Linked DNA regions of Saccharomyces cerevisiae S288C. Changing the gene in region 2 together with the main gene of any one other region gives a genetic interaction. Each region holds a gene or a part of one and is shown on either strand. Other genes may lie near its edges.

Region 1 (4,760 bases), on a different chromosome or scaffold from region 2:
TTCTATCTGGCCCTCTGTTTCGCCCCTTTTACCCTGAACGCGATTTTTGAGCGAGACGAGAAGAGCAGAAATTTCGCAATAAGTTACTACAATGGTGCCCGCTTTAGAATAATAACTCGGGACACATTTATACATTCCCACACACACAGACGAGGCACGGCTACCCACGCGCACAAAAGTAAAAATGGATGGATCGACTATAGTGTTTATACTGACGATGGTGTGCTTGTTTGTTTACACCGTGAAACACAGGGGCGCCAAGCAAGTACCCTCGCGAACCGTACAGGATGCCAAACCGGCGCCCTCGGTCGCCACCAACGACCCTTCTCCGGAGCCAGTACCATCGGCTCCGGAGGAACGCGTTGCTCGGTTAAACAGACATGGTAGTGATCGAAAGAGAGCCGTTAATAGTGACATGGTTGAAATCGTGATGACGATGGCGCCACATGTGCCTCAGGAAAAAGTCGTGCAAGATCTCAGGAACACAGGGTCCATTGAGCACACAATGGAAAATATCTTCGCTGGCAAACTAGATTAGGCATTCTTATGTACCGCATTAAATATATTAAAAATCACAAATCGACTGGCGTAGGATGTATGCGCCTCTTTTTACTATCGCTACTATTGCAGGGGATCTTCTTCACCGGCAGCATGTTCACGATCCCACCTGCCTCGCGCTGGTTCTTAGCCGCTACCGCGCTCTCGTCAGTGTCTAGTGGCTCTGCATGCATCGCTGGCGGCTCTATCCTTGAACCGAATTGCGTTTCTGTGTCGATCGATACATACGAACAGAATCCGTCTGTTGATGAGATTAGTAGGGTCGAGCCATCCTCAGACCATGCTAAATCAGTTATGGGTGAGTAATGTATATTTCCCACAACGCATAACGGCTCCAATACATCCGTGTCGTACACGAGTACTTCGTTAGTCGTTGCTATGGCAAATACTAGCTTATAGGGCAGCTTAAGCACACTCTTCTGGCACGTTTCGTAAAATACGGGCGAGAAAGCCGCCATCAGCGCTGGTTTCTTCAAAGATGGGATTCTAATCGCAGGCCGGTTTTTAACGCCACCAGCGCTGTTCAGTATTCCAGATCTAGTATACACGTATACGCAGTTCGCGACTTCATCACCAGCCACCTTATACACACCACTGGGAATTACGACCAAACCACCACAAGGCGATATGCTGCATCGCCTAAAGAATGAAGGTAGCGTCTCGTTGTGAAAAAGGTAATTTGTCCTCAGGACATCACCTGGACAAGGCAGTTCTGCCTTGGCAATCTTACTTCTAAGTTTCAGCCCTGTAACCACTCCTGCAGATGAAAGAATGACTCCATATACATGCAGAGACCGGTCCGCAGACTGTGAGAGAATAAACTGATTTAATGGGTCCCATGCAACACCTTGGACGTAGTGACCATGATCCGACTGGCCGCATACCAGCATCCCAGCTCCAACATCGAACAGTCGTATCGAATTGTCCATACATGCCACCACTATGTTCCTGTTATCAGGTGACCACGCTAGATCGTAAATCTCTGCCGCCGCAGTAGCACCGCTACCACCACGCAGCCGTTTCCACACAACCCATTTCTCCTTGTTCTCGTCTGCTTCACTAGTCTCCGCATCCATTCCGAATGGTCTGACCACAGATTCTTGCTGTGTATTTGGATCTTCTTGCTTCCATAGCAGCACTTGGCCGTCATCGCCCGCAGACGCCAGTACGTCACCCTTCGAGTTGAATCGGATTACATTTATGGCCTGTTCGTGATGCGTCAGCGAGCCAAGAAAGTCAAGGCTTTCAATCTTACGCACCCCCCCATTTTGTCCGTTTTCATCTCTGTTCAACTTCCATATCCTAACCTTGTTATCACCACCAGCGGTGAAAAGCTTGTCGTTCGCACTGTTCTTTTGGAATGTGAGCGAGTAAACGGGTTGTGAATCATGCCAGTAGATTTGCAAATGTGAAGCTTCCATTGTCCTGCCCCTTTGCTCTAAGCTTTTCTGCCTCCTTCTTTTAAATTCTGATACGTACTATAACGCTATAATAATAGCCCATCAGTTAGACAGCGAGTTAACTAACGTGTTCGCCGGGCAACCCAAGGAAATAAGGCGTCCTTTTCACATTTTCATATTTTTTCAAATTTTTTTCAATTCTAATTTTCCTTTTTCTCCCCCACCGTCTATAAAAGCTAGTAGTTTTCTACTTTTCACCACAGAAATCTATTCCTTCGATAACAGTCCCTAAATAAAAACACGACAAAAAGGCCCCACGCAAGCATGTGCAGCAACGGACAGGCGTCGTGCGCACAAACTTGCTCAGGGGCCCGAATACTAGCACATATGTCAAATTCCTAATTAACGTTTTTTATATTCATCGTTTCTTAGAGCCGTAATTGTGCTGATATCAATATCAGGGAAGAACATACCATATAGAGGTGTCAAGTACACCGAACGATCGTGGTGCTCCCTCAGCCACGGGCGTGCTTGGACGCTATTCCCACATATATACGCAAACAATCTATGTCTTCTCCCTCCTTGCCAGAAAGCCGGCTCCTGCTTGTAGTTAAGGTATATATGTATATATTCCGGGTAAGAATATTTTGTAATACCAAAAATTTTCTTCTTGAAATGAATACTTTGAGACATCTTTAATATTCGAACAGAAACACAAATAAAGAGATAACCCTTTCCACCGCTAAAAAAAGGACCCCATCAGCCATGGCTACACCTTCATTTGGCAATTCCTCTCCACAATTGACCTTCACTCATGTTGCTAATTTTATGAACGATGCTGCTGCTGATGTATCCGCTGTGGATGCCAAGCAATTGGCCCAAATAAGACAGTTTTTGAAAGCTAACAAGACAAATCTTATCGAGAGTCTGAACACAATAAGGCAGAATGTAACTTCTTCCGGCGATCATAACAAGTTACGCTCTACAATTGCAAACTTATTGCAAATAAACGTCGATAATGATCCATTCTTTGCTCAATCTGAGGACCTTTCTCATGCTGTAGAATTCTTTATGTCTGAGAGATCATCTAGACTTCATATAGTATACTCACTTCTCGTTAACCCTGACATCGACCTCGAGACATATTCATTTATTGACAACGATAGATTCAATGTAGTGGGGAAATTGATTTCTATAATATCATCTGTAATCCAGAACTACGACATTATTACAGCTTCATCTTTAGCACATGATTATAATAACGATCAAGACATGTTCACAATTGTCTCATTGGTGCAGTTAAAAAAATTTTCTGATTTGAAGTTTATCTTGCAGATATTACAAATTTTGAATTTAATGATCCTCAACACAAAAGTACCAGTAGATATCGTCAATCAATGGTTTCTACAGTATCAAAATCAATTTGTTGAATTTTGCAGAAATATAAATTCAACAGACAAGAGTATAGATACCTCGTCACTACAATTGTACAAGTTTCAGAATTTCCAAGACCTCAGTTACCTCTCAGAAACGCTTATTTCCAGGATTTCATCTTTATTTACTATCACAACTATATTGATACTTGGACTGAACACTTCAATCGCGCAATTTGATATTCAGTCACCTTTGTACATGGATACAGAAACTTTCGACACCGTCAATAGCGCTCTAGAGAATGATGTAGCAACCAATATCGTCAACGAGGACCCCATTTTCCATCCAATGATTCATTACTCCTGGTCATTTATACTTTATTATAGGCGAGCATTACAATCGTCGGAATCATTTGATGATTCAGACATAACGAAATTTGCTCTGTTTGCTGAATCACATGATGTTCTTCAAAAATTGAATACTCTCTCAGAAATTCTATCCTTTGATCCTGTTTACACCACAGTAATAACAGTATTTTTGGAGTTTTCTTTAAATTTTATTCCTATAACTGCATCTACTTCCCGGGTTTTCGCCAAGATAATTTCAAAGGCACCAGAGCAGTTCATTGAGAATTTCTTAACTAATGACACTTTTGAGAAAAAATTGAGCATCATAAAGGCTAAATTGCCCCTATTGAACGAATCACTGATCCCGCTAATTAATTTAGCCTTAATTGATACCGAGTTTGCCAATTTTGAATTAAAAGATATATGTTCATTTGCTGTTACCAAAAGTAGTTTGAACGATTTGGATTATGACTTAATTGCTGATACAATAACAAACTCTTCTTCATCCTCCGATATTATAGTGCCTGATTTGATAGAGTTGAAGTCTGATTTACTAGTGGCGCCACCCTTAGAAAACGAAAACTCTAATTGTCTCTTGTCAATACCAAAATCAACAAAGGGAAAAATTCTTACTATCAAACAACAACAACAACAACAACAACAACAGAATGGACAACAGCCGCCAACTACTTCCAATTTGATTATTTTCCTTTACAAATTCAATGGTTGGTCTTTGGTGGGTAGAATATTGCAAAATCTATTACATTCATATATGGAAAAGGGTACACAACTGGATGACTTACAACATGAATTGATGATATCCATAATAAAGTTAGTCACTAACGTTGTCGATCCGAAAACCTCGATCGAGAAATCTAGTGAAATTCTGTCATATTTATCAAATTCTCTGGATACTTCAGCCAGCACCATAAATGGAGCGTCGATTATCCAAGTAATTTTCGAGATTTTTGAAATATCACTACAAAGAAAAGATTATACCTCAATTGTACAATGTTGTGAATTTATGACTATGCTGACACCGAATTACCTTCATCTTGTTTCTTCTTACTTGAACAAATCG
Region 2 (4,994 bases):
ACCGAGTCCTTCTTTGATTATCTTGCACAAGATTTCATTTTCACGAGGATCGATTTCTATGATATCATTTTCAAAGACATCATCAAATTGATATTTCTTGATGAATTTTTTAAAATTGTTTAAGAGAATAGGAATGTTCTCGACATTATTAGTCCTATAATCAAAAACACAATCCTTAGGGTAGAATCTTTTGTTGGTTGAAGTTAACGTATCGAATAAATAGTAAGTCCCTGTAGCATCTATATGTTCATGTAATATATTATTGTTCTCGTTTGTTTCCAATAATTGTATCTTTTCAACTAGATCCACAATCCTATTCTCAACCTTGTCAATGGTTTCTCCGAGTTTTAATAATTTTTCAGCTAGCATCTGAATATCATCAGCCTCAGAAAGTTTTTCCTCTTCTGCCTTTAAACCATTTAGTATGGTTTTAAACCTATTTAAGTTTCTTTGATATTGTCTCACCTGTTCATCTTTAATAGAAACTTTTCTTAATGATGATGGCGTCTGTCTGACAGTATCATTTGTTTTGACTTTCGATTGAATCCGCGCAGAAATGTTGTCGTCAATAACATTTCTTGTTTCACCCCTCACTGGGGTCGCCATGTTGATAATTAGAGGTTAAAAATTAGTATTAATGAAGAAGTGAGTACTGATCTTCTTATACTAAATAAGAGAGGTATATAAAACACACGCCGATTGGTCATATTAATTATGACCAATATAATAGTGATTCCGGTAGTTACTATACATTGATGTGACGACTCATATTCCTCATATATGTACCTACCATAACATGTTCAACTAATAGGTCTTTAACACAGCTTCAGTATTGTCTGAGCTTCTCGTTTAACATTCCTTCTGCAATAGGCGCAATCACACTTAAACGTATACGAGTTGTACATTAATATACGATGTAAGCATTAGATTGTTACCATAGCAACTCATGTCACTATTAATTACTCTCGTTCCAACATGATAATATAACTATTAGTTGATAGACGATAGTGGATTTTTATTCCAACATGTTCGTTCTGTTATGAAGTTGTTTCATATGTGTTTTATGAACTTTTAGGATGACGTATTGTCATACTGACGTATCTCACTTTGATAAACAACAATATCAATAATATTAGGGCGTGTGGCGTAGTCGGTAGCGCGCTCCCTTAGCATGGGAGAGGTCTCCGGTTCGATTCCGGACTCGTCCAATTTCTTTTTGTTCTCAACGACAATAATAAGAAAATCAACTTAAATGGAAAATATTACTGCCTTTTATTTTTTACGTAGCTGTTGCCCTAACCCGACTTTATCTTATGTCTGTTATTTTTTTATTTATACATTTTATAAAGTGTACCTCTCTTGCAGGTACCATTAATCTTATAACCCATAAATTCTTAATTCGTTGAACGTGCCGCATCCTTTGGAGTGGATTCAATATCCGTGGACCCCCCTTCTATTTTCCTCCTCTTCTTATCATTACCATCTTCATTCTTGTCTACAGACCCCACCTCTTCTTCTCCTTCTTCCTCATCGCCGTCACTATTTTCTATGTCTTCCTCCTCTTCTTCAAGATTCGTTTCGTTGTCTTCAGTCTTCTCTTCCTCCTCTTCTTCCTCCTCTGCCGCTTCTTCCGCCTCTCCCTCTCCATCTTCTTGATCGTCATCTTCGTCGTCTTCATCATCTTCATCGTCATCTTCTTCTTCATCGTCCTCCTCCTCTTCATCATCTACGCCGGGCTGTTCAGGTGGGTATAAATCCCCTTCATTTTCATTATCCCAAACAATGTTAAACCTTGTTACCCTTGGCTTTTCAGCCAGTATATTTCTTACAATATGATCTACTTGTACCTTTGCTGGCGGATTTTCTCTTAACTCTTCTTCATCGTACTCATTATTCACGTAGTAACCGACCCTAACAAACTCTCTCCCGTCATAAGAACAACTTAATAGAATAACAGTCACACTAACCAATTCACTCGCAGGAATCAGCTCGGCGGAGGGAGGGTCAGCAGAAAACACAAATTTATTAACACCTACGGGAACGGGGCCTACCAGAATGGAATCCAATTCCTGGTCATGGTCTAGAGAACGAGAGGACCCAACATAGGTTAGTTTCCACTCTAAGTCATGTTTTAAAGATTCTAAGCATTCAAAAGTGATTTCAAACTCATATGGATCAGTGAACTTTGCCGGGTTGTTTAAGACTTTGATGCCTAACAGTGAAACAATTGACATCTTTTCTATATCTTATGTTTCAATTGGATGGTAGGGAGAGTACGCTGTTACACTTTCGAGATTCTGTGAGCCTCTTACCTGTTTGGAGTTATTCCAAGTGTTAGTATTAAAATTGCAAGATTCATTTTTCCATCGTCGGTTGTACGCCCATTACATGAAAAAGGGAACAGATTTACGCGTTTAGGATGAGAAAAAAAAAAAAAGGAAAAAACGCGTAAATGAAAAGTTCTTTGTAGAACAGCTCTCTCTTAAACACATAGTAACAGCAAAAGACGCCACCAAGACAATATCCTGAAAATCGAAATTCTCGCCAAGGCATTACCATCCCATGTAAGAACGGAATAAAACAGCATTCGAAGGTTAGGTGTGGCACAAAGCCGATAAGAAAAAGAAAAGTAGTGAGGACAGGCTTAATTGAGCTAATTAAGGCGAAAAAAGGAAAAGAACTCGATAGAAAAACTTATTCATGAAGGAGACGTAAAGTCAGGCAAGGCTGCGGCATCATGTCTACTTGTCATAACTCAATTTGCCTATTTCTTACGGCTTCTCATAAAACGTCCCACACTATTCAGGGGAAGGCTACACGGAAACCCCAATAAAGGAAACGAAGAAGTGACCTTAGCCTTCGTCATCCGCGCCCACTACTCTCTTCCTAGTCGCCCGGTTGTTGAAAGTTTAATTGTGGGTTTTCTTTCACGACACACCTCACTGAAAAAAGAAACGAGCGGAGGAATAGTATGATAAATCTTCAGCATAGATGGGTAACGGGATCCCTCTGTGAGGGCCGATTATGCAGGCCTAGACCCGCACGTGACCACTTCGAGAGCAAGTTGCCTGCGAGTTTCTCTGCCCGAGGAAAAAGAAATGGAGGCAATTTACTTAATATGGTATGAGAGGATCTTTTGACGGCAAATAGATGCGCCATCTCCGAGAAAAAATCTAGACAATAACAGCGACAATTAACCTAAAGAGGATAGAAGATCGAGCAAAAAAATTTTTTTAATATGGGGTCAGTGGCGATATTATACTATAGGAGTTAAAGAGTAAGTTGAGTGTAAGGTGGTAGAATTATGATTGAACTCCGAAACTAAGCGCCGATTATGGGTGGCAAAGCGGACAGCTTTTGATATATAATCGATCGCTCTCGTAGTTGATATCCTCTCTCTTGCTTATCTTTTCCTGTATATAGTATATGTGTACATACAGATACGAATATACCTCAGTTAGTTTGTTTTAACATTAAATATTCAACAGTTGCCAGTAGCAAAAAGAATATATCCATTCATTTCGAGCTTTTTCGTCTCATTACTGATATCCAACTAACAGTCTCCTCATAGACGGTACCTTACTTTCCTTTAATATTATAATACTAGTATAGTCGCACATACTTAACTCGTCTCTCTCTAACACATAATGAAAATTTCCGCAGCTTTAATATTGTCTTCCCTTTCTTCTGTCGCATTTTCTGCCCCTGCACCTGCTCCAGCGGACAGTCACCATGAAGATCATCACAAAGATGAAAAACCAGCGGTTGTCACTGTCACTCAATACATAGATTCCAATGCCGCTACTAGTACTGTAGAATCTGCTGCTACTACCACTACATTGTCCTCATCTGAGAAGGATACCTCTGAACAGAAGCGTGATGGCGGATTCCAAGATGGTACTGTCAAATGTTCGGACTTCCCTTCTGTAAACGGTATAGTTTCCTTGGACTGGCTAGGATTTGGTGGATGGGCCTCTGTCATGGACATGGATGCCAACACTTCGTCCGAATGTAAGGATGGCTACTACTGTTCTTATGCATGTGAACCTGGAATGTCAAAGACTCAATGGCCTTCTGACCAACCAAGCGATGGTAAATCTGTTGGTGGTCTTTACTGTAAAAATGGTTACTTGTACCGTACCAACACTGATACCAGCGATTTATGTTCTACGGATGAAACATCTGCTAAGGCCATTAACAAAAAGTCTGACTCCATTGCTCTATGTAGGACGGATTACCCAGGATCAGAAAACATGGTGATTCCCACAGTGGTTGATGGTGGAGATTCACAACCAATTTCAGTCGTTGATGAAGACACTTATTATCAATGGCAGGGTAAAAAGACTTCTGCTCAGTACTATATTAACAACGCCGGTGTATCTGCAGAAGATGGGTGCATTTGGGGTACTTCTGGTTCGGATGTCGGCAACTGGGCTCCACTAGTGTTAGGTGCTGGTTCCACTAATGGAGAAACATACTTGTCGTTGATTCCAAACCCCAACAGTAACCAAGCTGCCAACTTTAACGTTAAAATAGTTGCATCCGATGGCGCTAACGTTCAGGGCAGCTGTGCGTATGAAGATGGCTCTTTCACCGGAGATGGTTCCGATGGTTGCACAGTTTCTGTTTTATCTGGATCTGCTGAATTTGTTTTCTATTAAGTCATTCTTCTTTTCGGTAAAAGAATGTCTTGTATTTTGATACCCTCAATTCCCCTTATTATTCTTTTTCTTCCGCTCTCTATTTATTATTATACATTGGGATTCCGTTATATTTTTCTCCTTTCAGTTCATTTTACTTCTTAAAAAGTTTCGTTGATCGCTATTATGCTATGGATTCAAAGATTTTCTTTTCTCTCTCTTCAAGGTGTACTCTGCATTACGGTTTTCTTTAGTTCGTTTATTTTTTTTTTGTTAACAAGGTGTTTGTATACATATATATAAATATATGGAAATATTATAGTGTTTATTTTGTTACTTCCTGCGAGTTGCAAC

What was found.
Region 1: of ASF1 (region 2) and CAC2, changing one enhances a phenotype caused by changing the other (phenotypic enhancement), as found in Saccharomyces cerevisiae (7 studies listed by BioGRID, with this or other methods).

The regions. Positions count from the first base shown.
Region 1 is NC_001145.3:65,513-70,272, reverse strand, and holds CAC2 (Cac2p), read right to left. Parts: upstream 1,980-4,760; coding exon 573-1,979; downstream 1-572. Other genes in the region: YML100W-A (uncharacterized protein), read right to left, coding at 1-135; CUE4 (Cue4p), read left to right, coding at 185-538; NUP188 (Nup188p), read left to right, coding at 2,724-4,760. UniProt on the Saccharomyces cerevisiae protein: Acts as a component of the histone chaperone complex chromatin assembly factor 1 (CAF-1), which assembles histone octamers onto replicating DNA.
Region 2 is NC_001142.9:193,527-198,520, reverse strand, and holds ASF1 (nucleosome assembly factor ASF1), read right to left. Parts: upstream 2,235-4,994; coding exon 1,395-2,234; downstream 1-1,394. Other genes in the region: YJL114W (gag protein), read right to left, coding at 1-606; SUN family protein NCA3, read left to right, coding at 3,648-4,661. UniProt on the Saccharomyces cerevisiae protein: Histone chaperone that facilitates histone deposition and histone exchange and removal during nucleosome assembly and disassembly. Facilitates histone deposition through both replication-dependent and replication-independent chromatin assembly pathways.